2 linked regions of the Alligator mississippiensis genome follow. The protein of the gene in region 2 purifies or fractionates together with the protein of the main gene of each other region. This does not show direct contact. Links are inferred from orthologs where the notes say so. Each region holds a gene or a part of one and is shown on either strand. Other genes may lie near its edges.

Region 1 (15,328 bases), on a different chromosome or scaffold from region 2:
ATACCAACCCATGCAAGAACAGGCAATGTAACCCTGGAAAGCTAGCAACAGTCCTCTGCCCCCTACCACCCAGGGCCACCTGCCCCTCACCTTGTCGTAGGCACGGTGTCAGAGTCGCTCTCTGCTGCTCCACCTGGGGGCTCGAGCAAGTGCTGTCCATTAGAACTTGGGCATGGGCAGGAGGAAGAGGGAAGGGAGCCCAACTCATTCCTGGGAGGCTCTTTGCTCTCCAGAGCTTCAGGAGGCAGGAAGTCCCTGGAAGCTTCAAAAATGAAGGTGGTGTCACTCTCGCCCACCTCCTCACTGCTGGCACGTCTCCAAAAGGCAGTGAAGCCCTTAGGTGTGAAGTAGGAGCCACTGTCAGAGCTGAAAGAACGCAGGGCCCAAGCCCTGTCAGGGCTGAGCGGCCCCTCCTTACGAGGTTGGTCCATCTTGGCTAGGATCTCCTCCACTGTGGTGCCAGGGAAGCGCTCTGGCTTGGTTGCCACTGGCACTGGTTTCACCTTGAAGGGAGAGGTCATTTTGCGGGTCCCCAGGAGTCCCACAGCCTGCGGCATCACGGGAGAAGACCTTCCTTCCTCCCTTGGTACGCAAGGCAAATCTTCAGCTGTGAGCACTGCTGAAGCCAGAACCCCGGCACCAGGTGTGGGAGAAGAACCCCTTTTCCCATTGGTGGCCTCTCCCATGGAGCTCTTGAGGCTGAAAGCGGGGCGCTTAACAACACTGCTGAACCCAGCACTGTATGGCTTAGGACCTGCCAAGCGGTTGATCTTCTCAGCAGAAGGCAGCTCGGTACGGGTGTTTCGCACCCCAAGGGACAGCAATGGGGTACAGGGCTTCACTGGCACAGCTGGCTTGGGCAGCATGCGGGGTTTAGGCCTGACCGGAGGTTTTGGGCGAGTGTCACCTGCATGGAGAGAAGGGGTGGGAGTGTGCCTCAGAGCCAAACCTCACGGAAGAGGCAATGACAGCCTCCCCCGCCACAGGAGAGTGGTCTAGCACCATGACCGTGGGCTGCAAGGGAGGAGCCCTGTCCAGGGCCTGTGCTCAGTGTCAAAGGGGGTTCTGTGAAGGCAGTACCAGAGTGAGAACTCAAACCTGTCTCCTAGATGGACCTCAAAATAGTGGAAGTGATCAAGGTCTCAGCCCCATGATCCTGCTTCCCACCCTCACGCAGAATAAGAGACAACGCCCCTTAGAGGGAAGAAGCCCCATATCCCACTCCCCATTACCTAAACTAGCAAAGGCCCCCAGGCTCAAGGTAGATCAGAGCTAGCACCCCACACCCCATTTCCTAATATCCTTCCCTGGTGTCACCTGAACTGTGACACTTCCTGCCCCACCTTTTCCCCACCTCTCGCTCCAGGGAAATATTAGGAACTCTGCCACCCCTCCCTCCAAGCCCAAACATCCCACCTCCACTCAGCTCCTCTTCCCCAGAGCACAGACCTGACTCAGGGCCACCAGACAGCTGCCCAGCCCCATCATCCCTACTGCCATTGGAGGGGGTGCAGGGAAATGGAGGGTGCAGGGGCTGAGGCTGGAAGGCCATGGTGGAAGCTGGAATTGAGTCTTGATGGATGCAGTGCATGCGTCAGCCCCTATAGAGAGGAGAGGGATGTTACAGGATGACGAGACAGGAAAGGAACAGGTAGTGCCTCCCTACAGGACATGCACTCCCTACAGTGCCTCCCTACAGGATTTCCCAGCAGACCCCTCAGAATTTGGTCCCCTCACACCTAGCTGGTCAGTTCCCCCCCAGCTCCTCCTGAAAAGACCCCTTTCCAGAGCTGCACCCTGCAGCCCCATCTTTGTATCAACCCTGCCCCCAGTTCACCTTGCCCCACAGCAAGGGAAGCAGCTGAGACCCAGCTGGACGGCATGGGTTCTGCCTCTTACCATCAGAGCCAGCTCCCCTCAGCTCCAACACCACATAGCCCTATCTGCACCCCAACCTTCCAGGACCCCAAGTCCATGCACAACTCACAACTGCCCTATGCACAGTGCCAGCCCCCCAGTTCCTCCCCTCCCCTCCTCCATACACTGTGCTAACACGCACGCACTATGCCCAACTTCCCCAGACTCTTTCCCTTCCGGTACCAGATGCCACCCCTTTTGATCCCACCATTGCATGCCTTCCTTCCCCATGTGGCTCACCTTCCCTGCAGCTGCCTCATCTCTGAGCTTGGACAGCACAGCAATGTCAGAGGCCCTGAGCAGGACAGGCACAGAAAAGGAGCGGGAGCTGGAGCAGGGAGGGAGGGAGGGAGCTGGAGCAGGGAGAGAGCTGGTGTCTCGCACAAGCTCCTGTGACTCACGCTGCAGGGACGGGAAAAACCCGCTCGGCTTAGCTTTGCAAGCCCAGCGGGCCTGTGCCTTGTCTGGCCCTGCCCTCTCCTCCCTTCCCCCTCCCCCAACCTTCCTCCCTTTCCACACCCTCTTTTACCCCATTCCCCCTGCCTTCCCCTCCCTCCGCCTTGCTGCACTCCCCGTTCTGCCCCTCCACGCTCCTCCCTTTGCTGCCCCTTCTCCACCACACTGCCTCCTGTTGCCCTGCCCCTCCATCCTCCCCATTCCATGACCCTTCCCCTCCCCGCCTGCCTCACTCCTTTCTTTGCCCGCCCTTCCGTTCTGCCCCCTCCTCCTGCCCCACTCCTCCCTTCCATACCCTTTCCCCCTCCTGTGCTGCCCTTCCCTTCCATGCCCCCTCCCTTCCTCTCTCCTCCTCCCCTGCCCCACTTTCTCCCCCACCAACCCCTTCTCTTGCCTGTCACTCTCTCCCTTGCCTGCCCCTGCAGAGCTATGGGAACGGTCCCCCCCCACCCAGTCTCCAGGGAACTGACATCACGGCTGCACAGTCCAAACCCGGATAAACAGAGCTGGGGAGGGCACATCTGGAAGACATCCCCCCCAATCCCACACTCCCCCCCAGCTCTTCCATTTCCCAATCACTTGGCGCAGTGCTGGAATTCAATGAGGTAAAGCCAGGGCCTGGTCCCGTTGCTGTGGCAACACCCTCCCACTAGATTTCGGGAGAGGGCCAGATCGTGGCCAAGCAGAGAGCGTGTCCTAGCACAGCCAAGACTGGACACCATCTCGGAGTCTCCCCTGACCCCAGGCTCAGCCCACCCCCCTCCTCCTGCACAGCTACTAGGGCATGACCACTCCCAGGCCAGCAAAGTGCCAAGGCAGGGGCCAAGAAAGCAACTGCATAAAGCATGGGGCAGGCTGTAGGGAATTGAGCCATGAGCAGGACCCAATGACCCCCTTCTATCTTACCCCCCCCACCTTGTGCCCTACACCTCCTACCCCACACACTGCCCCAATCACTGTTCCCCCCCTTTCCCCGATGCACACCCCCTATCCCAATATGTAGACACTCCTTCTACACTGCATCCCCTCCCTAGACCCCAATTTGTCCCCCAGTGGTGCTGATACCCCAACTCTCCATCCATACTATGACCCCTCCATAAACCCCAACACAGCCCTGCCTGTAGTGCCAAAAGCCACTGAATATCCAACCACACTGTGCCCCCTCCTGACACTGACTCACCTCAAAACTGCACCAGTATCTGTCCTTCCCTCTGCACTGGGTCCCCTCCCCATAACCCAATTCATCTGTCCCACGGGTGCCAACATCCTTACCTTCCACCCACGCTTCACCCCCCCCCTGCCCCCCCCTCCCCATAATGTCCATATCCCTTCTTGCTCCACAAGTTCAGAACTTATATTCTCAGGCTTTCCTCCAATAACTCCTCCTGCTTTTCCCCACCACTGAGAAAGCATTGGCTGGGCACTGCCCAGTCTCCCTCTTCTGGCATCACCTGGGCTTCTGACTTAGTCACCCCCAGTGACGTGCAAAGCTGTAGTACAATCTCACAGATGAGTGAGTGAGTCTCAGTCATTCTACAGACTATGGACCATCAGACTACTCTGAGCCAGGACCAGGGTCCAAATATGGCCTCTCCTAAAGCCTGCCGAGGGGTGCATTGTCCAATAAAGGCATTCCTGGAAGGAGTCTGTCCTTCCTAAACCTTACCCCCTCTCCACTGGGGGAACCCCACACATGCCCCTGAACTCACCCTGCCAGCCCCCATCAGGAAAGCATGCCCGAGTATTTGTCCCACAGAGCATCTCTCCAGCCATGTCCCCAGGCACTCTCTCTCAGCCAAGTGCTAGATGCAGCCAAGTGCGGCACAGCACCATTCAATTAGAGCACATTCTGTCCCCAGGTGCAGAACCAAGTGGGAAGAGAATTAGGCAAGATGAAAGACCTGCCAGATGGCCCCAGAGATAGCAGAGAGGGAGAGGGGGTCACAATGGGGGGCATCCTGAGAAGGCAGATCAAGGGGGACAAGTGGAGAAGAGCTGATTTATGTTTCCTGGGCTGGGCAGTCCCTGGAAAAGGGGCTCAAGGCAGGAAAGGCTGAGCTGAAGGGAAGCCAGGCAGCATTTTCTACCCAGGTGGGAACATAGAGAGTGGATCCAGACCTCTGAAGAGAGAGGGGAACCAGGAACTCAGAAGAGGGGGAATATAAGGGGCAGGGGCAGAGCACATCTCCTAGCAAAGGGCTCTAGGAAGAGGGGGACAGATCAGGCCAAAAGATACCTTGACAGGAGAGAAGGCCGTGGGCGTAAGAGAGGCTCTTGGTGGGGGACAGTCATCCTTCTCATGAGTTCATTCAGGCCAGGCCCATGCTACAGGTGTTGGCCCAGGGGCATCAAGAGCCATAGTATTAGCCAAAGCCTGTTTTCACTAGCACAGCTGGTTTTGATGGAACAAGGATTGTTACATCAGTACAAAACACCACTTTACTAGGCTGTCCACGTCCACACTAAGAACACAGACAGCACAGCAAAGCCCACTAGCATCCCTGTAGCAGCAGGGTGCTCCTGGTACAGACACAGGCCTGGTCTATGCTGGAAAAAGCTTTGCTGTCAGCAACCTCCTTCCTATCTACAAAAGATCACTTCTGCCAGAAGAGTTTATACCATCCCCAAAGGGATGCAGTCTCCCAAAAGACCAAGCCAGCATGCCTGTGTCTATGCTACAAGGATGTATTTGGTAGCTGTGCTGGTCTGAGACAAAAAGAAATGCAAAACTTTGCAAGTTTATTTTCTACCTATGGGGACTTTTACCATCTTCCCTCAGCTTGAAAAAGGGTACATGTGCCCAAATGCTTGCAAAAAAAGATAATTTTTTTGCAATGTCTTAGTCTTATAAAAGGTATCATCTCTGAACCAAGAGTTCTAGAGTTTTTAATTTCTTTGCGTCTATGCTAGACATTTCAGTTGCCTAGCTGTATTGGTCAGGGACCACAACTCTTCACCTTCTGACCAACAGAGCTATAACCAGCAGCAGACTACAGCACAGGCCTGACTCTACCACATGCCTGTTGCTACCATCAGCGCTCAGGTCACCCTGAGAAGTGGGCATAAGGGAACCAAGGCGAAATGAGAAGAAAGCCCCAGCTATCTCCAGGGTCGAGAGCAGGGGACTCCCAGCAGAGGACGAATAGCGTGTAGCATCAGACCAGGAATATTAGAGCAAGAACCCTCAGATACAATGACTAGGAGCCAAAAGTTCACCTGTAGTAGAAGGGCAAAGGCAAAGAGATGGAGCCTTCTGCTCCTGCCCCAGAAAGGAACAGCTCACTAGCAGCTTGGTGGAAGGTAGTTGGGAGCCACAATCAAAAGGAAACTGAGTGAAACCAGCTCTAGGGACTGAGAGACCGAGTGGGGCAAGCCCAAGCATCAAGGCTTAGTGGTGCCATCACTACAGCAGCAATGCCAACTCTCACAAAACAGTTGTGAGATTCCCGATTTCCAAATCAAATTAACGCTAACTCATGATCTCAGGATATAACCCTCAAATCACAGGACTTTTCTACTGGCGCATAGAGTGCACCCAGCTGGTAAGTTTGTGGAGGGGAAAGGAAGTGGGGGCAGATCGAGGCCCCTATGGTGAGGGAGGGAGTGGGGTAGGAGCTGGGGTTAATGGGGCGCACTGGCCGCGCAGCATGTCCCCTGACAACAGGAAACATACTGGCACTGTGTGGCTGAGCTCCTGGGGCAAAGGCACCAAGGCACAGAGCTCTGAGCCTGCAGCCTCTCTCTGCCTCGTGGGGGGCACATGAACTCCATGCCTCCCCGGGGGTGTGCACAGCTGTGGGTAGCTGCCCCCCACCCCTGGATGACCTGCCCTGGCTCTGGGGCCACATTTATCCCAGCCCCTGCCTCACTCCTTCTCTCACTACAGGGGCCAGATCAAAGCCCCTTCCCCTCCACTTACCAGCTGGGTGCTGTCCCTCTGTGTGTCCGTGTGTGTGTGTGTCTGTGTCCGTGTGTGTGTCCCTCACTCCCAAGCCACAGCCCCCCCAGCCTTGCTGCTGCCCCTCACTCCTGACCCACAGTACCCCACATCCTGCTAGTACAGGCAGGGCCCCCCACCCTCATCCCCCAGCTCCTTCGTAAACAACCCCTGACACACGCACACACTTCAAAAATAGCATCGCATGATTTACATGCCAATCTCTTGATTTTTTTTTTAAGTGTTTGTCTCATGACTTGGCATGGTGGGGTTGCAACGCAGCTACAAGGAGCCAAGCCCCGGAGGCAGGAACAGGAACATTCCTCCGCCTCCCCAGCCCCAGAAAACCTGGCAAGGGGCGCGCTGTGTGCACTGCACCGCACCGCACCGCAGCGCCCTCCCGCCCGCCTTGGCACCAGCCTGTGCCCCAAGGGCCCAGGGGCGCGCGGATCACACCCGGGGCGGCCCCGCCCCGGCCCGGGCCTGGGGCCCGCACCCGCCTGCGCGCGCAGCCGCACGCGTAGGCCCCCCCCCGCGCCGCCCCCGGCCTCAGCCCCGCGGCACCCCGCCGCCCCGGCCAGCCGGCCGGGCGGGCGGGCACGCACGGGGTCCCGCACCCCCGCCGCTCACCCGCTAAGCTCCGCGCCGCACCGCCCGCGTCCTCCACCCTGCATATTCATGAGCCCCGCCCGCCCCTGCTGCATATGCATGAGGCGCGCGGCTGCCGCCCGTAGCCCCGCCCCGCTCACGTGTCGCCAACATGTCATGGCGGGCCGGCTGCGCAAGCCGCGGGAGGGGGGCGGGGCTCCGCTGTGCCATTGAGGGCGGCTAGAGCGGCCCCGCGGCTGCCCCAGGTCCAGGCGCCTGCAGCCCCCCCCGGCGGGGGGCTCCGACCATGCAGGAGCTAGGGCTGTAGCTCCGTCGTGCCCAGGGGCGCTCCTCGCGTGTCGCCCCCCCGCGCCCAGGGCCCGTCCCGCACAGCTTGAGCAGCTAAACCTGGTGCGGCACGCTTTAACCAGTGCGTTAGGAATTTTAAACCCAAAATTTACACCCCGGCTTCTCAACCCCTGCCTGGGAGACAGCCTCCCTTCAACTTACTTAGGGATGACCCTACCTCGAGGGCAGGACGGGACTAGATGGCCCTTGCAGCCCGCCTTCCCTGGGGCCCCCTCTGGAGGGCAAGCAGGATCGTGGTGCTGGAGCTCTAAAGCTAGTTCAGGTGAAGCCCCTCCACTCTTGCACCCCTCCACACAATCACCCCCGCCGTCCACAGCTCTCCCTGTCCTGCTCCCCAAAGCCTGCCCGAGCTGCAGCGACAAACAACGGAAGCTGGGGCAAGCACTTCTCAGTACACTGGATGCAAAACCTTCTCTTCAACATGCCCCCTCTCCCAACAGCCACCCACTATCACACCAGTGTTGAGCAGCCCTCCCCACAACTTCTGTATGTTACCCAACACCACCCTGTACTCCTTCCTTCTGCACCCAGAAAGGAGGCAGCACCCCCTGCAAAGTGAGGGAGAGCCCCCAGTGCTTTATCTGGCTCACAGGACCAGTATAAAGACAGGTGCATGCTGCCTGGATGGAGGAGTTGCTTTAGCTGCCATTAGCGCATCTCCTTCCCAATTAACTGCTGGCAACTGGGAGGTTCCAGTAAATAACCTCCAGAAAACTAAGCTGATGGAAATGGGAGCCTAGGGAATTTCATAAGCAGGGCATCCTCCATCTGCACAAATATTAACCTCCGGCTGGCTGGCTCGGAAGGGCCCCAGGCTGCCTAGCACATTCCACCTCCCCTCCCCCTCACCAGGCACAGCTCTCTTCCCCCTCTCCAAGAGCTCCAAAGACAGTTCTCAGCAAGACAGCTCAGCACTGATTCAATTAAAGAAGACAGAGAAGCAGCTCTGCGTCACAGGTGATGGGAAATGGAGCCGGAAGGTCTCCTGTAGCTCCTCTAATGGAGTACTGAGGTCCGGTAATAGGCACTAATCTGATCAGGACGCATTCCCCAGGTCAGATTAGCACGCCTTGGCAGGAACGTAGTGGGGAGAGAGCTGTAATGGAAGTAGACCCATCCATCTGCTGATCCACTTTACAGAGCTTCTCCCCCTCCTCTCCTGGCTGTTACTGATTAAGAGGATAAGAGCTACAGGCCCAAAGGTGGAGTAGAAAATGACACTAAATCGCCGGGAGATGGGGAAGGGCAGAAATGGCAAGATGTAGCCTCCTCCTTATGCCTCCTGCATGGTAGGGCAGAGCTGAGCTCCTGATTCCACCTGTCTGCAGCAGGGGTGGCTGATTTAAGTCCTCCTTGAAAGTGGCAGTGGTACCAGATGGTAGTCTGCCCCTCCCTCCTGGGAGTTAGGGCAGAGCCCCCAAGCTCATCTTAAGACTGCTCTCTATTGACTGCCTGCCTCCATTAGGCTGCTCTGAAAAGGCTAGATGGCCCTTTAACACAATTAGGGCTGCTGCAGCCACCTGCAGGGGCCAGCAGTCTTAATGGAAGGCAGTAAGATAAGGCTCTGGCCCCAACTCAGCATTGTGGGGAGTGTCACACACGCACCGAAGTGCCAGAGATATGCACCTGGCACAAGCAAACCTGGCAGGTCCCCTATGGGTGAGGGTGTAGATCTCTCTTGGGCAGACACAGCTCTTTGTCTGTGTCCCCACTCATTCCATCCCTCTTTGTTTACCCACAAAGAAGCTCTGTCCAAAGACACTTGATTTTTAATTCAACCCATGTGGCAGCCCAGAAATACAAAAAAAAGAAACAAATCGGAACATAAAAACACTGATAGGGCAAGAAAGCGAGGGGCCTAGGAGCCCTTGCAGCCACCTCCCCAACACTCCCCCACCACACTCTTCACAGCCTATCACACAAAGGACCCCCCAAGTAACCTTCAGTGACATGCAAAGAAAGGAAGTGTGTGCTTCCTAAACCCTCACCAGCAGGAGCTGTGAAGGATGGTAGAGCTCAGGGAGCAGGACACAGCAGGAGGTGGCTGGGGCCAGGGCAGAGGCATCAGGGAAGGAGCAGAGCCAAGGTCTGGTTCTAGCCAATGGTGTAGACCTCAGTATGACACCCACCCCTCCAGTCCTCCCAGTTGGATGACGGGAAACCTGGGTGCAGAGGACTGGGCCTTGCCCTGCTGACCTAAGAAGAGTGCCATTGGCTCAAGGGGCAGGGCTGAAGGGAGGGCAGGGGTAGGTTCTCTAATCTGAGCCAGATGCTGAGTCCTCTGAGCTGGGGGGTGTGCTGGCAATCTCCTCCTCCTCCGAGTCCTGGGGGAATGCATGAAAAGAGAGAGTCAGCCGGTGACACATGCAAGAGCCATGGGTACAGCAGCCAGCTGGAGGATGGGGCCCCCCACCCATGGAAGGCAGTGCTGCACCTACCTCCTTCTTGCTCTCGCCTGAGGAGCTTTCATCACTGGAGACAAACTCCTTGCTCTTGAAGCTTTCAGTGGTGGGCTTGACTGGGGACTTCGAAGATGGAGACTTGGAAGACACCCCCTTCTTCTCCACTTTCCCCTTCACCTGTTTCTCCTGCTTCTTCTTCTTCTTTTTTGACTTCTCCCTAAATACAAGAGAGCCACCGGGCACAGAGGTTACCCACAGCCACCACCTGGGTCCCTGCCTCTGGGATGGTAGAGCCATGGGGGACTTGCTCACCCCACCCTGGGGAAGTGCCCAGGCTCCACCATAATGGGAGGGAACAGAAGTCATTCACCACAATCTCGCTCACCTTCCCCGGGCAGAATGGGTCCTCCAAAAGGAGACATGACTCCTTATCACTCCCACCCTCCCCCCTGGGTTCCCCAAAGGCTGGTGCACTCACGTCCTGGAGCTCTCTGATTTGCCCCCAACACTGTATTCTTTCATGGCCTTCTCATAGTCTCTCTTGGCATCTTCTGCCTTGCGTTCCCACACCTGTTGGAAGTGCAAAGCGTCAGTCACAAACCCACAACAGCAATTCCACCCCTGCCCCCCACCCAACATGCTGCTACTCCTGCACCATACACCATCCCACCCCCAACTGGCAATCTCACAACTCAGCAAGCCACCCAACCATCCTAAGGGCCAGAGGATGGCATCCCCCAAGCACAGACCTACCAACACCATCCTGGCAGCCCCGTCACACCCACACTACCCTAACAATTCAAACATGCTACCACAGCTCCTCCCAGTCCTTTACCTCTTTCTTCTCCCTGGACATGGCCTTCCAGAGCTCCCCAGCCTTCTTGGACAAGTCAGTGATGCTGATGCCAGGGTGGTCTGATTTTATCTTCTCACGACTAGCATTTAGCCAGAGCATGTAGGCAGACATTGGCCGCTTAGGGGCATCGGGGTCCTTGCTTTTCTTACCCTGGGACAGTGGAAGGGGGCAGCAAGGGAGGGAGAAGGGGAAAGAGAGAGAAGCAGCATGAGATCCCCTTAGAGCTCATGGGCTCAGAGGACCTCCTCATAGCAAGGGCTGAGGTCATTCCCCACTCAAGCCCCATTAACAGCATGGCTAGAGTGGGACACCCCCTCCCACAGCCAGGACATCCACTGGGCCCCAGCAACACAAGCCCTTTGGAGGGGAATTATTCCTGATGGAGCTCTACCTGGACAGAAAATTGCTATTAGGGCTCAGATGATACACTGAGCTGACAGAACTGGACTGGCAGGGGTGGAGGGAGGCTACAGAGCTATCCTGGGCTTGGCAAGTGGGCCACAAGCAGAGTCTAAGTCAAAGTCACCCCCTCTACAGACTGGTCACTGCCTTGTGGGAAGTCAGGTCAGGGGGAGCAGGAGTGTCAGACCAGCTTCCCAGAGCTCAGGGTACTCACTGGCCACGTCAGTAGCATGAAGACCTGGGTCTTCACGTGCCAACAGAGGATCCCTGCAGGGCAGGAGCAAGGCAAGCTAGTGAGGAGTGAAGCTGACACTCATCCTCCCAGGACAGAGGATGTTGCTTGGTTGTAGAAAGCACTGGGGACCACTGCATCCAACCCCATCTCGTTTCTCCCCTTGCCTGGGCACAGCCCTCACCTCCAACTGTTTCTTGCGAGGTTTGCGCTCCCTGACAATCTTGGCCTTCTTGGCTGGTTTCTTCTCGTCACGGTCACTGTCACCATCACCACTAGAGGAGCTGGCTGAGGGATGGCTGTTGAATCTGCAGGAGGAAGCATCAGCTGGGAATCAGCCCCATGCCCAGAAGAGTTACTGGGGGCAGGGATCGCAAACTCCAAGAAGGTGCTTTAGCGAGGACAAAAATGAAGGTTATCTGGGGGCATGACATAAAGAGGCCACCTCTGAGACCTTAGCTATAGGGGTAGATGCATTTTACACAGAAGCCAGCCCTTACCCAGAGAGAAGCCAGGGCCTAGCCTGTCCCTGGGAACAAGCTGTAATGTCTTGTTCTGGTTCTGCAATTCTCCAATAGGGCCCTGTACCCTCCCCTCATCTTTCCCCCTTGAGGGACTCCCAAGTGAGTGGTGACCTCAAAGAGCAAGCCCCTTGGCCTGTTTTCCTGCTCTCTCAGGAATCCCTCTGGCCAAGGTACAATCTAAGAACATCAGCTCTCATCAAAAGACCATTCTGAAGCACAGAGCCTGACCAAAGACAAGAGGAAAGACCAAACCTCATACCTCATCGCAGTGCCTGGGATGGGCACAGAACATCAGAGCCCTTGTCCCAGGGTGTTAGGCACCTTCCCCCAAAGAACTTATAGGTAGCTAGCTCAAGAACTTTAGATGCAGACAGAACCTGCTACAGAAATGCAGCCAGATCAGAGGGGAAAGATAGTAGCTGCTTCCTTGCTTGTGGCAGTGCTACAATGGGGGCAGAAAGTGAAGAATCCAACTGGAGCCTCACTAGTTAGCCAAGCCACATTGCTCAGGTGCTGCTTTGCTTAATATTCCCCGCAACTCCTGTGAAAAGCCCCAGCAGAGGGGCAAGCAGGTCAGTCTCACATCTCCTAGAGAAGATGGCACTGACAGCATCCCCTGTCAAGATTCCCTCCTACCACTAAGCCAGGGATCTAGAACTGGTGGGCACTGTGAGGGGTAGGCACCTATGCCAAGCCATAGCACCCTCAACCACCACAGCCAGGCTGGCACTGGTAGCACCACTTAGGCCATGCCAAGAGCGTATCAAGGGACACCCACCTACCCATCCACCCAGAAATAGGAACAGCCCCCCCCCCCCCCCCCAGCCCCTACTCACTCCTCTGCCACATCATCATCCTCCTCCCCAGGGTTGAATGACTCATCTGGAAGAAAAAGCATACAAGTCAGTCTGACTGCTGGGGGTCATGGCAGGCTAGGCAGGAGGTACACAGCAGTCACCCAGCAGTGGAAGCTCTCAGGAGTCTGGGAAAGGACCAAATAAAGGAGACAGGACCTCCCCACTCCGCACCACTGAGACTGAGTCAATAGCCCCAACCACCCACCGCAAGGAGGCAGAATCTCCCAGGTCTCAGCTAGGGAGAGCTCTCAGCTGCAAGGAGAGGAGCACTAGGAAACAGTCAGCACCAATGCTGCTCCTGCCCCACCTATCCCACCCTACCCGAAGGCAGGGCCCTCACCTGTCTCTTCCCCAGACTCATCGCTGCTGTCATTGGCATTCTCCTCACGGATCTTGCCCTCTTCCTTCATCCTCTCCAGGTAGGCGTCATGCTGGTCCTCATCTGAATCAGCATATTCATCGTAGCTCTGCTTGATGTCCTGGAGCACCATGGGGAAGCAGTGAGTGCTGCTCTCCACCCTTTCCCCTTTCCCACCCTCAAAGAGGGGCAGACAGACACTCTCCTCCCCACCCTAGCATGCGGAGAACCTAGAACTACAACTCCCAGCATGCTCCTGGGCACTGCCCTGACCCTAGGAGTCAACTCCACACATGGTGGCCCCAGCACTCTGAGCAGAGGCGGCATGCAGTCCACAGACGAAGGTCAGCACACGTCCAGCGTGCCCCTCGCTCTGGGGACGGTGCGGGGAACACCAGTGGTGTGAACTGGGGTAAGTGAAGCCCACTCAAGGGGAAAAGCAGGGAGCAACAGCCCCCCCCTTCCCTCTTATGGCTCATGCATGGTTATGGGGGTTAGTAGGGATCACCACAGCCATGCACAGGAAACCTGCACCAGGAGGAGGAGGAGGAGGAAGAAGAGGGGAATCGGACGGACCTTTTTCTTCTACAAGGGCAAGGAAAGAAGAGAAAATGAAATAGAGGCCGAATCTGGAGCAGAAGAAAGAAGCCCTGGCCCAGCCCAGCCCCTCCCCCACGCACCCCTGGCCAGTCGGGGAGCAATTCCAGAGCAGTAGTGGGAAAGGGGGGCCAGGCCAACCCTGCCATCCCTGCCCCCACCCTGCCAGTACCTCCTTGTGTCCTCGGTTCTTGATGTTCAGCTTCTTGGCATTGACAAAGTCAAAAAGCTTCCCATACTCTTCCCTGCAGGACCAAACAGCAGTCACAAGAAGGCCAGGCCCAACACTCACCCAACCAACACACCACTGGCAGGCCCACAGTATATGTGGGGCACAGCCAAATACCTGGGGGAGGACGGCACTGTGGCAAGGGAGAGGAGCCCAACCCAGGAGGCATGGAACATCAGTAATGAATCACCCAGGGAGCTGGGGGGGGGGGGGGGGAAGCTGTGAGGGAATGGAAGAGGACGGCTGCTTGTGCACCTATAGGATCTAAGCAATCAGTCAGCATTTGGGTGAAGCACAATCACCTCTCTATGCTCCTGAAGATGTACCACATGCAGTGGTGGGTGAAAGATGAACGGATGCTGGGACAGAGGTAGGGATGCTTACCGTTCTATGCTGCTGAAGGTGTACTGTGTGGCCTGCTTGGTCTCAATCTCAAAGTCAAAGGAGCGGGTGGTAGTGGTCCCACGGGCAAAGTTGACAAAGGAGATCTCGTCAAAGCGGATGTGCACAGGGGGCTTGTGCACGTAGATGAACCCACGCTCCAGTGGGTACAGCAGCCCTGAGCTGGCCTTGTAGGAGCAGGTGATGCACTGGGCCCCTGAGTGCCTGTGCGGGCCAGGGAGGGAACACACAGCTGGGTTATACACATAAAGGGTCCATGTGCAGGCACTTGCCCACAGTCCAGTCATACAGGGGCAATCCCCACTCTCCCCAAACACTAACATGGTCAGCCATATCAAGATAAGAAGCCTCAGCTCTTGGCACTGTGAGGCAGAAGCCCTCCCCTATCATATTTGAAACCCTTCTCACAGGCAGCTCTGTGTCACAATGCGAGAAGAGAGAGTTTAGTACCACTGTCTTGGGCAGAGCAGCTTATGGACCATTGAAATCTCTCCCACGGGGGCAGCTCTGAGTCTTCTCAGAGCAAGAGCAGGCAAAATCTAGCCCGCGGGACCCCCTAAAATATTTAGAAAATATTTATCTGCTCCTGGCTGCCTGTCAAAGACAACAGGCACTGGGCAGGAGAACCCAGGGAGAGCTGGCAGCAGGAGGCAGGAGCCCAGCCACACCCACCCCCAGCTATTTCCCCACTTCCTGCCCTCACCCTGCTCTAGCACCACATGGTGCTCCTGGCTTCATGGCCAGACTGGGGAGCACAGGGCCCCGGTGGTACGGGGATGTGTGCCTGCATGTTGGCAGGGGCAGTGTGCGGGTGCATGCACACGTGTAGGCAGGGGCAGAGTGTGCATGTGGGACTCTCCCTATCCCCACACACCCCCTTCACACTGCCATACACAAACCCCAGCCACCCTCCCTCCACACAGTCCCCCACCCAAGAACCCCATACCCACCCACACCCCATATATCCACACCCCCATGCCCACAGCCCCCAACAAACCTACACCCCCCTCCACAATATACAAGTGTGAGACTTCAATTTAAACTATTGTGCAATCACCTCTATGCACACCACACAAACACATGTAAATCAAGGCAAAAATGTTTTTTGAAATCAAATTAATGGATGTTGTAGATGTTTGCTTTTTAGAATATAATTTGGTATTTTTCTGGTTCCAAGATGGCAAAACCCCTCGCTGAAAGGA
Region 2 (15,232 bases):
GAACCCTGGAAAAACAAGATATTTAGAACTGCCTGGATTAGACACAAAGTTCAGTCCAAATTAAGGCTTCTGCTAGGCATTATACAAAATTTTAGCACCCCCCCGCCCCCTTGCATAGGACCAAATATATTAAAAAACAAACATTTGAATACTACAAATCCAAATGCATAAGAACAAAGGGATTAGTAAGAATACCACTGAGTACAAACATATGTTTTTATGTATCTTGTACCCAATCTGATCATGGAAAATGGAGCTCAGCTGTCAATTCAATTAAATTTATAGATGTATGAATTAACTCTTCATGGGCCAATATGTACCCATCAGCTACACAAGACCCCAGAACAGTGCATTATCTGAGTAAATGGTAATAGTACTCTTTCATATCTAATCCTTTAATGACTTGACTTAGTGATATAGACTAGTAAAAGTTTGCCAGAAAAAGGTAAGGACATTTTGCATACTCTGTCATCAGCTTTGCAATGTTCCAAATTAAGCCCACATTAGGAAGCACATGACTGAGGAAAGCTGCAAAACAGATAAGACCCAAAGCTAAATTAATCCTATTTCTGTCAAAATATGCACACAAATATTTTCTAACAGAATCCAAACCTAGAAGTTTAAAAACCTTCCCTGTGTGTGTGTGTGTTTCTTCTTCTCCATAGTCAAGACAAAGGGAGGATAAAGAATTCCTTGAACACCCATAAACTGGATTTTAATCAGCGAGTTGGACACACTGCTTTCAGAACTAGACCACAGAACTAAATTGCCACAAGGTAAGGATGTCCCATTTCACCTCCAGCATTTTAAAAAGTCTAGGACCAAGCTATCTTGGACTCAAGTTATTCAACAAGCCAGTGCAGTGTATTGCAACCTGTGGTGCTGGCACTGCTAGAATTCTTGTGTTCATTTCACTGTCATTTCAACTCATAAGTCAGTGGTTTATACCCAGGTTAGCACTATATACAGGCCTACAATTCAGCCATAAAATCAGAAAGGCTTCTTTAGATGCACTGGGCATGTCTACATGAGACACTTAATGCGCCATAGCCTAATAACATTTCCCAGTAGTGTGCCAGGCAAAAACCGTGCTAATACACTACTGTGCAGTAGTCTTAGGCTACTGTGCAGTAAGCATCACTAAAAACCCATGCGCCAGTGCTACTGCCCAGTAACTCTAGTTTACTGCACATTTAGTTAGTACTTCATTAAGCAAGCACTAAGTTAAATGTGCAGTAACTAATGGCAGACAAGATTCCTTGGGTGAATTTGATATCTTTTATTAGACCAACCCAAATAATTGGAGAATAGTTATTAAGCAAGCTTTCGGGTTCAAAAACCCTTTGTCAGGCTAAGGAAGAATGAATTCCATCCAGGAAGAGCACACCAACTGCTGAAGCTTCCTTAGCCCAAAGAAGGGTTTTTGAACCCGAAAGCTTGCTTAATAACTATTCTCCAACTATTTGGGTTGGTCTAATAAAAGATATCAAATTCACCCAAGGAATCTTGTCTGCCTATGTCCTTAGACCAACACGGCTACAACCTACACCCCTGCAGTAACTAATGCGCATTAATGAACATGTAGATGTGCCCATTCAGACCTCACGTAAATATGTTTAGCTTTTGCATTAAGAATTCTACTAGCCAGGCATGTGAAAATTGTCCATTAAGTGCCATATGCACAGTATATCTTATATACGCACACTTTTTCAAATACCTTTTTAATACAGAGTAAAGAAGTCACAGCATCTGAATATTTTACAAAATTAAGTGAAAAAATAATTTCTTGAAACAGAGCATATACTAGGCACTTCTCCAAAAATGAGTGAGATTTCCTTTTAGACAACCAGCATTTATCAACTAGAATGCATTCAGATAAAAGCCACACTAGAAATCGTGCAACACAACCTGTTTTACTGCAGTGCATGGGGAAATGGGGAAGGGGCACTTGATCCCCTGCCAAAGGTGGGTCACAGAATTCCAATTATAAGTCACTTAAGAAGTTACAGTATTCTTAATTAAGACTTCAGGGTGCATTGGCAGTAACAAAACAGAAGTCTAACTTTAGCATCGCTATGTGAAGCTGGCAGCACAGCAGACAAGTACTACCCAGCTCTAAAGTAGTCTTTTTTTTTTTTTTTAATGGGATTTCATTACTTTACACTTTGAACTGTGCACCCACATTGTGCAGCCCAAAAAATATCCTGAGTCCAAGGTATGGATCTAGCCCACCTCTACTTTGAGAGTGCTAGCTGATAAATGGCAATGTGCTCATGCATAATTATTATAAGCATCTTAACTATTAAAGAGTTCATGGATATTCAAAAGAAAACATTAGTTCTATGTTCTGTAAGGATAAGCATGTGAAAATAAATTGATAAATCTGTCTTTAAGCCAACATATTTGAATTATGGGTGACCAATGTCAGAATAACTTGAAAAATGTAAGCCATAATTAAGTTTGAATCTCAAGCTTTCCCAAGAGCTTTCTGTGGCATACAGCTACATATATAACTTTCACAATAAATCTCTTGTTCATAAGCTTTAAAGTGTTGTCAAACAGTTTGGCACAAAGACTGTCCTAAAAATCTTGGGCCTGCTACCAACAGATAGTTCACTGGGTCCTCCTTTTTGTTTTGGTTTAACTTCATACCTTACAATATTTGTAGGTGTTCCTTGCATATGATTAAAAAAAAAAAAAAAAAACACTTGAAAGACTGTCTGCTCATGAGCAGCCATTTAAATGTAACACGTTCATTTCTGATCCTACAGGCAGATCCCTGTACTTCTATGGACCTTCACTGAAGTCGCATCAACTTGCAGGATCCATAATTTAGTCATTTTAAGTTTGGTTTGTTTGTTGTTTTTTTTTTTTTTTTTCCTAAACTAGCCACAGCAGTAAGAGTACCCAGATTCTTTGTAATATGCAACACACTGAGCCTAAACTACAGCATACAGCAAAACTCTAGAAATTATATGGCATGGGGCAGCACAACAGGTGATGGCTTTACACTAATACTACAGCCTCTCTTATTCACAGAATAGGTAGGTTTTACAGCACATGCTATAAACCCCTCTCTACCTGGTGTGCTGCCTCAAATCAACTCTAAGCATTGCTACTTAACTTAATGACACCAGAAAGGAAAGAACTGAGAGACTTTGAGATGCTGCAGTCAGGGGACTGATAGTCAGCCCCCACAGCACAGGCTAGGAGCAGGAAGGTGCTTACATTGTAGGATACTTGGTCTGCAGGAGCATTCCCAGCTCACAAGAAATAAAGGTGTGCAAGAGAAGAGCAACAATACCTAGCCTCACTCTAAAGGAAATCTTAAGCCAGCCAACACGGAGCCTCCCCCCAACAGTGTTGGAATTCTGCAGCAAGGGCCTAGTCTGCAGATCTCCTCAGTGCTCTTTTACAGTACTAGTGCTGTTCAACACTCCAACAATTGCTTTTCCAAAGCCTCAAACTATCTGCAGGTTTTGTCCTTCTCCTCTCCTCAAACACTGCCTGGTTCTTTTTTCTTTTACAGAAGGCAGACTTGACCACTGAATACAGAAAGTCTTCCAGTTCTCAAACATAAAATGTATACCTATCAAGACTGTTTTGGTAACAAACTACCTCCAAGTAAGGTAGCTAACACGCATTGTGTCCAAGCAGTTAACAGGTTTGTTGTTCTTTTGCTTGTTTGTTTTTTCAAGCTTTTTACTTTAGCTGCAAAAATTCATTTGATATGAAAATTGTGTATGTATGATTACAAAAACATGGGCCAACTTTCCATGCCAAGTGGACATTTACAGCCTAATTAAAATGTGGTAACTTGTAAGAAATTCTATGACTTAATACTATGTTAATGATCCTGCACAGCATTTGTACGATTATACCTCCAAGTGGAAGCATAAAAACTGGATTGGAAAGAGAATACAAAACAGCTAGATACAAGATGAACCACTGTTGCTTTGAATCTACTCTGAATAATTTAGTATAAGACTTCCAAAAAGTACATAGCATCTGTCATGTCAATATTTGGCAAGGATTAATAAATTTAGTGTACACACATCCTTGTAGGATGTATAATTATCAATATATAGATTAAAGAACAAGATGTGCTGTTTGACCTAGGGCAGTGCCTATATTAAACTGTCTACATTAGAATTAGGAATGACTATATTAGAATTAGGAAAAAATCCAGATACTGCAGCTCAGTCTGCTGCCTTAAATACATGGATATTCTTATTAGGTGTTAAGCTTTATATTATTTTCTTTTCAACATGACACTATGTAATTGCACTCTTTTTCTGCTCAACAAAAAGTTTATGGAAAGAGCAATAGCTAATATCTGATGTATGCTTAGACACTAACAATAAAAAGGAGCCTTCCTTCACATATTTACTTCTCAAAAGAGGCTAGTAAGAATACTGATTAGGAGCATATGTCTTTATGTATCTTGTGCCTGATCTGATCATGATGTATCTGATATACAACACATACAAAATCCATGGTTTTTGGCTTCATCTGAACCAAGGCTGCCATGTTACAAGCTATTCAATTCTCACACGCATCCAAGATTACATGACAGGATGAAAAACAGAATACTTGTTGACTTCAGCATTCTGCTGGAAGAGAAAACAGAGGAAATGGGCTTTAGGGGAGGGACTATCTTTGTTCTATTAGCACAGAACAACAGGCTTCTGGCCCATGACTGTGGCGTCTAGGCACCAGAGTAATACAAATAATAAATAATGCACTTTGTACTATGCACAAAAAGCCTTGGCCTTCTTAGGTTTGGTCCTATGCTGTGTAGCTGCAATTTTTTCTATATTCTGTTTATTTTATGAGAAGGATGCTTTCTGTTGAAGTGAAAGACTTGTGAATCTTGTTTCAGCCAGCCTTGGAAGTGTTCCTTCCATTTTTCAAGGGGACTTTCTCCAAACAAAACCATGTACCAGGTTACTAAAACAGCTCTTTTCTTGCTCATCTCTGGAATAGCCTGGTCTTAGTGGTTTTTCCTCCACTTCAAACTCAAGGGCACTACATACTTTTTCTTTAATAAAGAGATCTGCATGTGTCAAAAATAGTTACCTGCCCATGCAGTATTATAGTCTCATCTATATTTCAGTTCTTCCTCTAAAATTCAAGCAAAACAACCAGCCTGAACACATCAAGACTGCACCCAGAGTTCAACTTCAATATGCAACACAATAGAGATGCATGGTAGTCTCCTTTGTGCATATGGACAGATCCAAGTGTTTCAGGTGAAAAGTAAATAAAGAGTTAATCCAAATGTGAATGGCTCCATTTCAGTAACAGCGTGAATAAACCCCCACAGAAGGCTTCATTGCTAGCTGCAAACTCCAGAGTCCAGATGAACCAGCAGGAAGAACACAGGGTGGATAATCCTGTAAAATTACCTCAGTGGAAATGTTGATAAATTCCCAATTACGAGACCTGCTCTAGGATGAAAAAAAAATGCAAGATACAATACAATTACCAGTCAATGCTTGCAAACCTTTGCAAGTAACAATTACCACAGGTATTCCTCAATCCCTTGAACTTTGTGCAACTGTCATCTATCACAGTGAAATCCTGTTAAATAAAATAACTCCCTGAAATATGGTAACCAAAGAGCTTCAACCATGATTATAAAGTATATATTTGCCTAAAAGTGACATGAAACTAATTTTCCACCTTTAGATTATTACACAAAAACACCTAAGTTTGCTTTATACATACTTCTCATATTGAAAGAATAATGCATTTCACTTAGGGATTACAATTCCTGTAAACATTATAGGTCAGGTAACCTATAAGAATCAGGTAGATTTTGAAGAAACAGGCTTTTAAGTGCGAGGCCAAACTAGCCTTTAAAAGCTTCAAACCCAGGTAGCTGGATGTACAGCAACTACTGTATCGGGCTTTTAAAAAGGCTTTAAAAAAAAAGCATAAAAACACTAGGTCTCGTACCCAGTTCAGAAGTGCTTACGCACCGCTCATTTGTGCCAGCGTGTGACAAAGGACGGCAATCCCCTCCCTCCCCGCAACTTCTCAATTACGGGAGTAACCAGAGGCACGCGAGCTTCGTCCCCGGACGGAGCAGAGCGCCCGACATCGCTCCCGCTCCCAAAGAGGCGCACGCCGCCCTGCCCGAGACGCACCGAACAAAGTTGTTTTTTTGGCAGGAGCCCAAGGGCCGCACGTCCGGATCCCTCTCTGTTTATCCCTGCATGCGTGTGTCCCCCGGTCTCGGCGGCCCAGTCGCTTACCTGCGTGTCACCGCGAGCCCGCCCCCCCGGCTGCCTGCATTGGACGGCAGCGCCGTCACTCCCGCTCACCACCGCTCTCCCTTTCTATTTCTCACCCAGGCAGAAAGCACTGGCGGTCGCTGCTGTGGCCTTCTCCTCCTCCTCCTCCTCGCCAGCTAGGCCTCGGCTCCAGCAGCCAGCGCCAGTGCAAGCTTCTCCCGGGGCAGGAGACAGTTCCCGTCGAGGCCCCGGTTTTGTTCACTCCTCGCCTCTAGCTCATACATACATACATAAACAGATATATATTTTTAAAAGATGCATCCTTTTTCCAGCTGTCGGGGGGCAATCTGGGAGAGGGACAATTAGCAGACGGATGTCATTTCCCCGGGTCGTGGCGTGTCCCCACAGGCACCCCCCCCCCTGCACCCCGTTTCTCATCAGTGTGCCCCCCCCCTCGCCTAGCTGCCTTCGCCACCGGGTCAGCACCCCGCCATCGCACCCCAATATCCAAGCTCAGGACGGCGATAAATACATCGCCCCTCCCCCCCCTCCATGAGGGCCGCCCCCTCCCACGGGGTGGGGGGCGCGGCCCCCCCCCCGGCTCCCGCCCGTACCTGTGGCTGCAGCATCCCCGTCCCCCCGCCGCCCTCGCTCCGCCGCCTGCCTGGCTCTTTGTTTCCTGCCGCGGGCCGGACGGGAGAGCGGCTCCCCCCAGCCTCCGCCTCCTCCTCCTCACACTCATTGAAAGCAAACAAGCATCATGGCGGCGGCTGCGGGCGCCCCCCGCACCCCCTCCCCCCGCCCCGTGGCCCCGCCCCCGCCCGCGCGCCATTGGCCAGCGCGACCCACGTGACGCCGCCGCGACCGTTGCGGCCGTTGGGCTCCTCAGGCGGTGTCAGGCCTGGTGGCGCGGCGCAGCGAAGTGGAGGTACGTGTCGGGGAGCTGCAGGAGGGAGCGCGCGGGGAGGTCTGCGGGGCTCTGCCGGCGGTGGGGGGCATCGGCCCGGCCAGCCCCACGCTTTGCTCCGAGTCTTACTCGTCCTCCCCCCGGTGCCGGCCTCCCTCGTCCCTGCAGCGCGCTGGTGTGAAGAGGGGTTAGCTATCTCCTTGACTGGGGCACCCTCGCTCCGTCTCCTGTGCGCCGCGGCGGGGAAGGGAGACCTTTCTTTTAATTATTATTATTATTAAAATATATTTCCATAGAGAGAGAGAGAGAAGGCGTCGTGTATGTACATCTTCTGGCTGAAACTTTCCATCATGCCTCTTAAAACCGCAGCGTTTAAATTTGCCCGTGGGAAGGTGGACCTGTCCGTCCATCTGTCTGTCACTTGCTCGCGACCTCGCCCGTGCGTCTGGGGCGGTCGGGATGCGGCGCGCCGTCCGCTTGGGCCCGTTGAGATGTGCCCGGGTCCGGTTAAGGCCGGGGCAGGCAGTTATTTTGGGCGGGGGGCTGCTTACCGATTTTTAGCAAGCCGTCGAGGTCCCGCGTGACGGGCAGCCGGGGGCAGGTCGATATTAATTTTCTATATTTTTTAGGGGCCCGCGGGCTGGATAGACTGGGCTGGCGGGCCGCATCCGGCCCCCGGGATCGCGTTTTGCCCACCCTGCATTAAGGCGAGAGTTAATCGTCGTGTTTAAGCAAGAAGTTCGCAGATGTTCTGTTCTCCTTCATTACGAGGAGCTCTTCTCAAAAAGAAACGAGCGCTCACTGTCTGTACTCGAGGCTGTCCAACGCCGTTATAAGATCCTGTTTTTAACTCGGCGCGTTGTAACCGTTCGAGCTGACGTGCGTCATGCTGGGCGTCCGTTACAGGCTAAAAATGGGTTTTGATAAGTGTCAGTGCAAACGGTTCAGTCAGGTTAAGGAGGGGGGAAATCGGTCCACACTGAAAAATTCGTACGGCTGTTCTTGCGAAGCTTCAATGCTTTGGTGATTGGAGGCCATGCAAGAGACGTGACATGGAGGGTGCCTTTGGTTACCTTTGCTTTTCCCCTGAGTAAACTCTCAAATTTGGTCTAGGTATAAGCCTGTGAAAACGTGTTTCCAGGTGCGCAGGGGAAACTCGTTTGGCTTCCGAATTCTTCAGCATCTACCATTGGGCGGATCGGAGCCAGATGAAATTCAACACCGAGAAGTGTAAAGTGCTGGATCCACCTGGGGACGAACAGCCCCCCAACACACCGGCAGGCTCGGTGACGCCAAACGACTGAAAGGGAGCTGGGGGTAATAACAGACCATAGTACGAACATGAGCCGTCAGCGCGATGCTGTAGCCAGTAGGGCAGATAATACTCTGGCGTGCATCGATCTATGCATCTCCAGCAAAACCGAGGAAGTGATTTTTCCGCTTTCCGCGGCATTGGCGAGACCGCAGCTGGAGTACTGCGTCCAGTTCTGGGTGCCGCACTTCAACGAGGATGTGGAAAAGCTTGAGAGAGAGACTCCAGAGACGAGCCAGCCATACAATCAGAGGCTTGCAAGGCAAGCCACATGAGGAAAGGCTGAGGGACTTGGGCCTCTTCAGCCTATAAAAGAGAAGGCTAAGAGGGGACCTTGTAGCAGCTTACTGCTACATCAGGGGAGTACGTTGAGGGCTCGGCAAGCAACTGTTCACCAGGGCACCCTTGGGGAGAACCAGGAGTAATGGCCACAAACTCCTGGAAGACTGTTTCAGGCTTAACACTAGGAAAAACTTCTTCACAGTTAGGGTATCCAGACAGTGGAATAAACTCCCTCCAGAGGTGGTGCAATCACCTACCCTGGAAATCTTCAAGAGGAACCTGCACAGTCACCTTGCTGGGGTCACCTGACCCCCAGTTATCTTTCTTACCTAGTACAGGGGGCTGGACCTGATGATCTTGCAAGGTCCCTTCCAGCCCTTAACAATCCATGAATTGGTGAGCAGGCTCCAGCCCTTCACAGCTCCTGTATACGAACTGGATTGCATGAGCACCATCCAGCAAGAGTGTGGGAGCATGCTCTGGCTGAGGCTGCATGGTCTGCAGTCTCCTGCAGATGACTCGTTGGTGCCCAGTCAGCGTGGAGGGAGAGGAGGAGCAGCTTGACTGGAATGCAGAGTAATGAGTGGGGTGGGGAAGGAAAGGGGGAATAAGCAGGAGCAGAGAAGATAAGGACCCTGGAAAGGCTTGTGGGAAACTGGAGGGTGGGGGTGAGCACAAGATCATTTGTAACCACTGTAGTGTATTTTTGTGCACAAACTGGATTGGACCCCCAGAGTCCTTTGCAGTTAAGTAGATGGCTGTGAAACCCACTGGCTGAATGTATGTTTCATCACCCTCTAGTGGCAGGTCCACATAGAGCAGAGGTGGGCAAAATGCAGCCTGCCAGCCAGACCTGACCCACCATCCAGTCCATGGCTACCCAGCAATTGTACCCCACCCAGCCCACATGGTTCACCCCCATTCTCATGCCTAGGAGGGCCCTGGCCCTGGCCAGCTCGCACAACTTCTAGGCAGGGCCAGTGCTGCAGCCACCGGGGGACCTGCTTGGCTTCCCCGGCCTCCAGCAACTTCTCGTATCCCTGCTGCAGCACTTGCACCACGGAACAGGTAGGGAAGCAGCAGTGGGCAGAGGAAAGCTGCAGCTCAGTGGGAGCATGGGGCTGGAGCTGGCAGGAGTGTGGAGCCTGCACCCAGCAGGCAGCAGGAACTTGGGTGGATAGGGTATGGGTGAGGGTGGGAGGGCGTGGGGACCTCTCCAGGTGCCCCCTTCCCATGCCTGCCCCCACTGCTAGCAGTATTAGGTGGCAAGCCCTCGGGGTGCTCATTGTCAAGGGGTGAGGCTACTCTTGCAGCCCTTGACAGCTTGCTAGAACTCATTAAGCGGCCCTCCAGCTGAAATAATTGCCTACCCCTGACCTAGAGGATAACAGCCTTCTGTTGCTTCTGGTTACTTTGTTAGCACAACTGGCAGATACCCGAGTTATGGAACTAGTCCCAACCCTGCTAATGATCCAAGTTAAGGCCTTGTCAATATGATTCTGCATGATTAAAACTTTCATTTTGCTCATTTGCAAATGCTGTGAATTGCATCAAATTATTAAAAACAAACAAACAAAAGTGTGTTCCATTGATTTTTGTGAAGTCAAGTCTCAAGACTTACTGCCAGAATTCAGATTACTTATTTAGGGTTCAGTTGTGTATAGGCTTGGTGGGATTTGATTTTTAATGATAAACCTTGATAAAAGTTGATTTCACTTCTTGCACGCTGATGAAAGAATATTTCCATTGTTAATAATCAAAATTTATAGAAGGGGGACATAAGGAAAATGCTGGCTGATGGTGTGTGAGACAACAGGGTGAGCAGTCCTACAACACTTCTGACTCATTTGGACTGTAACTCCCAGAAACCCCAGGGGACTGGGAGCAAAGGAAGAGGAAGTGACAAAGCAGACAAGGGAGCTACAGGCAAGCCAAGCCAGGACTGATGGTAGCTCTGTTATTCAGCAGAGAACAGTCCTACAGTAATGTTTGTTGTGGTGGGCAGGTAAATCGCACTATAATAATAGTATACTGCCATTAATAAATTGTCTGTTCCCCACATCCCTAATTTCTCATGGTCCTGAAAATTTAAATAGATAAAAATTGAAGCAAATGCTTGAAAATAAACATTGATGCTATCCATCAAAATCATAAAAAAATTCTGCCAAGCCTAGTTGTATATTACATTTTTGTAGTACTCCTACTTCTTAGTGCACAGGATGGAGCTTGCTTTGAGAGTGATTCATGGTTGAATTAGGCCATTGTCTGTAGGAGCATTTAATTGCTGATGCTTTCTAGTACATCTGATACTACAGCATCAAAGCAATTAGTCTAGGGCTTGTCTATACTACGAAGCTCCTGTTGCTTTAGTTACGCTGGGATAGCTATGTCAGCAGCATGCCCCCTCCCCCCAGTGTAGATGTAGCATACACCAACAAAAGGAGGTTTTCTGCTGGTGTAGTTAACCTCCTTCACAATACAAGCTAGCCATCAAATAACACTCTTCTACTGGCAGAGCTACATCCATACCAGAGGTTTTGCAGCTGTGTCAGCTAAGAGGTTTGATTTTTTTTTTTTTTTTCTTTCTTCTTCTTCTTTGTACCAATAGGCTACATAGCTCTACTGACAAATTTGTAGTGTGGGCCTGACCCTAAAAGCACTCATTCTTCCCCACTATAAAGCCACACATGAGGATCAGCAAGAAACTGGTTTCGAATTGCATTAAATATACTGGAGTATTTCTGCGTTGTGTTTTCTGGCTACTAATTATCACCCCAGTCCCCTGCTAGATTTTTTTTTTTTTTTTCCCTCAGGGTTCACTGTCCAGCTCTTCCTAACTCTTCAAAGAGGCAACCATTTTGATAGGCTGAAATCAAGACAATAATATGGAAGCAAAGCTCAGAGCACTAAGAAAGGAGAGCGGGACTGGTTCTTGGCGAGAGTTGGTACATATGTGAGCTCAGTGGGAGAACAGTAGTCATTAAGCTTTTGCATTTGGTGGACTTCAGCTTATAGTTTCACATTTTGGAGATAAAATTGCTGCTTGTTTATTAAATCAGGAATGATATTTGAATGTGCAGTCTTGGCTTTCCATTTTCCAAAGTTTCACAGTTTTAATATCAAATAAAAGCTCCAACTAAATATGTTGAATGGCTCCATAAATGTTTGTGTACTGGCGAACTGTGGCCACACCTATCAAACCTCTTTGGCATGTTTGTTTTTTGGTGTTTCTATGCAGTACTGGCTTCTTGAACCCTTAGAAAATAGTGAAGACCAAATTAAGGCCTAAAGTAAGCAAGCACACTCCTACTAAAGTCACTGCAAGTTAAATTTGCACATGCCAGGGCTTAGCTTGACTGTGTGTGTAGGCCCCATATGTCCACCGACCTGATGCTTTGTGGCCTTGTTTGTATATTCTGTTGGCTTTCCATTGATATTAAGTGTGTTAATAAGACTGTATTTCAGTTAAGTATTTTTAAGTGATTCTAATATATTATGTTGACTCTGATAGTAATCTAAGATGGATATTCAGCCCCAGTACTGCAGAAGTACTTTAGGCACAAACTCTTGAACAGCACCTTTACTTCATAGGGGAGATGCTGTTAAGAGTAAAAAGCCTTGGGCAGCACTAAGCGAAGAAGGAACTGAGACTGATGCTCAGGCTGGGAAGCAAATTGTACAGTAAGGAAATAGGTTTATGAACCATGCTATTTGCACCTGCAGTTTAGCAAATGGGTATTTTATCTTTAATAACACCTTTTGCAGCCCCATTTGGCTAAATATAACCCTAGAGTGTGGAAAAACTGAAATATTTGTTAAGATTCATATTAAGCATTGAATCATTTGGATAACTTTGTATAGCTTTGCATTCACCCAGCTACTGCTTTTATTTGGCAGCTCAAAATCACTTAAAGTTTGGTTAGATTGTCATTACAGAATCTTGCCATATGTTGCTAAAGACCTGGAATTTGCACAGTGCTGTTAACAGTCACAGAGGTTTTATCACTTTATTTTTTTTAAATATAACATACAGAGTAATGGATGGGGGCACTTTTAAAAACCCAAATAAAGTTTTGTTGCTTTATCACTTTCTTAGTTAAGTACCCTCAGGCAAGACACCTAACCAATCTTAGCTGCATTCTTCTAACCTTTTAAAATGCTTCAACACAGAGTGCTTATATAAGTGCTAAATATTACTAAGTTTGTCTGGCCGTGATAATTTTCCAAATAGAATGTGGAATGAAAAGACTTTTAACATCACAAGGGGGGAGTTTTAACAACATGCCATGGTACCTGTTCAGAGACGTCTTTTCTATCTCTCGTCTTTGTGTCCATATTTGCACTCTTTTTTGATCCGCTATAATGCTAATCTCTATTCACTCTCTCATTCAGTGCTTTCCTTTAATAATAGGAAAAATACTAGCAACCTGATCCCATCTGTCTCTACCGTATAACATTTTCCCCTTAGGTGACTCAGGATGTATGATCTTGATGTATTTCATATAACGGATGTATGATCTTGATGTATTTCATATAACGGCTAGGAAGTTCCAGTGTGCAAAAGGACCAAGATGACAAACTTCTTATCAATGGGTAAATTCCTTCTACTGGAGGATTTACTTGGGGACGGTAAAAAGCATGTATTTTTTCTTAATGAGAGAGCCACCACAATTCTATTTAACATCCTGTCTCCAGAGTAATTCTCCATTGTGAAAGCTTCCCAGCCCTTAATGTCATTGGCTTCTTCAAATTGTTAAAGCTTTTTTTTCTAAACCAAAAACATTTGGGGATTTAAACACGTTGAAATATCTCAGGCTGCGTTCCTGTTACATCTGAAACTAAGCAGGACTGGGCCAGGCTGGTACTTGAATGAGAGCTCTCCAAGGAAACCTTTATGCTGGGGAAATGATGTTGGTGATTTAGGGGGTGATGCTTTTCCTCTCGCTGACCACTGAAATCCTGGAATGCTATGCTGCAAGAGACCCTGTCTTTGAGGAAATGTGCGTGCGTTAAACCAGGTGTACTCCGCTAGTTCTCACTTGGGGTCTGATCTGATTCCCAGCAAAGTCAAAGAAGCTTCTCTCTGCTTAAATTTCTCCCTGCTGTTTCATTGCTTTTTACAGTTCTCAACTGTCTTGCCGTTTTCTATAGGTTGCCACTGGTCATCCAAGCTGCAGTTGTTTTGGTGGTAAACTAGAATGGTATGTACATATGTAATGCCCTGTCTTCACCCTTTGGGCAAGCTATCCTTGTAATTAGAGGACATGATGGATTTCTGAATATTGGATCCATACATTGTCACAGAGGATTTTCTGTGAATTTATCATCGCTTACATTAGTATGACACTATGTGGGGCATCTATGATGAATTATGTTTTGACTACTGTTTGTAAATTGATAACTCAATTTTTTTTAATAGTAATCGAAACCGGTTTATGCACTGATCTGTTATGTTGGATAAGACTTACTCTTTTGTACTAAATTATCCAGAAGTTCCTTTTATGTCTTTTGCAGTGAGTTCTATGGCAGTTCAATAAATTATGCATAAAAATGTCTGGCTTTTGTATACTTTCCATGTCACTAGAAGTAACCTTCCTCTTGCTCCTTATTACACATTGGTCATGATATGTTCAAGATTATTAAATTTGGCCTGTAGCTAGCTGATTAGAAGTTTTATATAAAAAGGTCATTCTTATCAAATTGAGTTCTAGGGCATAAAGAGCCATTAACAGAGGGGAAAAATAATAATATCTGGGAAGTCAAATCATATTTTTTTGGACACCACAAGTATTTTACTTAATTTTCCTACTAGCAGTTGCAAAAGCACAGCAAAACTTAGTTTTGTAATCCATAATTAGGTTTTAATTGTATAAGTACTTTCCTGCTGGTTGAATTGACTTTAACCTTTCTTAGGAAGAGTGATATTACACTTGAGGAAATACATGGCTAAGATAAGGTCAGAGGAAATTAAAAAATATATACTCAAAACTTCTAAATTTGTACCTCTTTCAGCGTGTACATTTTGATGCTTTCTTGCTGCCTAGCTGAGTTCCTCACTCTAAGATCCCAGGTGTCTTCAACCTTCATTTTTCAAACTGTTTTCTTTTCCTTCAGTTTCTTGAAATCTGTCCTCATAGGTTACACTGTCTTCCTGACCTTCTGCCCTCTACTTCATTGATGTAGCCTAAAATCCTTTGCATGTCTGCCTAGAATGCTCTGTGTAAGGGGCCCTTCTGTGCTGTAGCCTCTGCTAAGGGCACAGGTTGAAAGCACCAATTTGCAAGACACTCATGAAACACTGAGGTGGTGATTCAACAGGAACAGAGGAGGGTTTTCATTTGCTGCAAAAAGAAAGAGCAGAGCATCAGTTGTTGCAGGCAGACTATAAAAGATTGCATGACTGATCATGTTAATAGCTATACTTGCCAGAAAAAAATCAAAGTAATGTGATGACCACTGCAGAGGTCAGGAAAGATTTTGTTCCATATTGAC

What was found.
Region 1: the proteins of CNOT6 (region 2) and TNKS1BP1 purify together in Homo sapiens (affinity purification with mass spectrometry; 3 studies listed by BioGRID and IntAct, with this or other methods). This does not show direct contact. The link is inferred for Alligator mississippiensis from reciprocal best matches to the Homo sapiens genes CNOT6 and TNKS1BP1.

The regions. Positions count from the first base shown.
Region 1 is NC_081825.1:172,866,568-172,881,895, reverse strand, and holds the start of TNKS1BP1 (182 kDa tankyrase-1-binding protein), read right to left. Parts: upstream 7,045-15,328; 5' UTR 6,941-7,044; intron 2,320-6,940; exon of another isoform or gene 2,158-2,319; intron 1,602-2,157; 5' UTR 1,592-1,601; coding exon 1,450-1,591; intron 908-1,449; coding exon 91-907; intron 1-90. Other genes in the region: FACT complex subunit SSRP1, read right to left, coding at 9,523-9,591, 9,706-9,886, 10,148-10,239, 10,505-10,675, 11,344-11,467, 12,520-12,565, 12,881-13,019, 13,668-13,740 and 1 more.
Region 2 is NC_081832.1:73,958,484-73,973,715, reverse strand, and holds the start of CNOT6 (CCR4-NOT transcription complex subunit 6), read right to left. Parts: upstream 6,975-15,232; 5' UTR 6,854-6,974; intron 2,880-6,853; exon of another isoform or gene 2,772-2,879; intron 777-2,771; exon of another isoform or gene 666-776; intron 1-665. UniProt on the Homo sapiens protein: Poly(A) nuclease with 3'-5' RNase activity.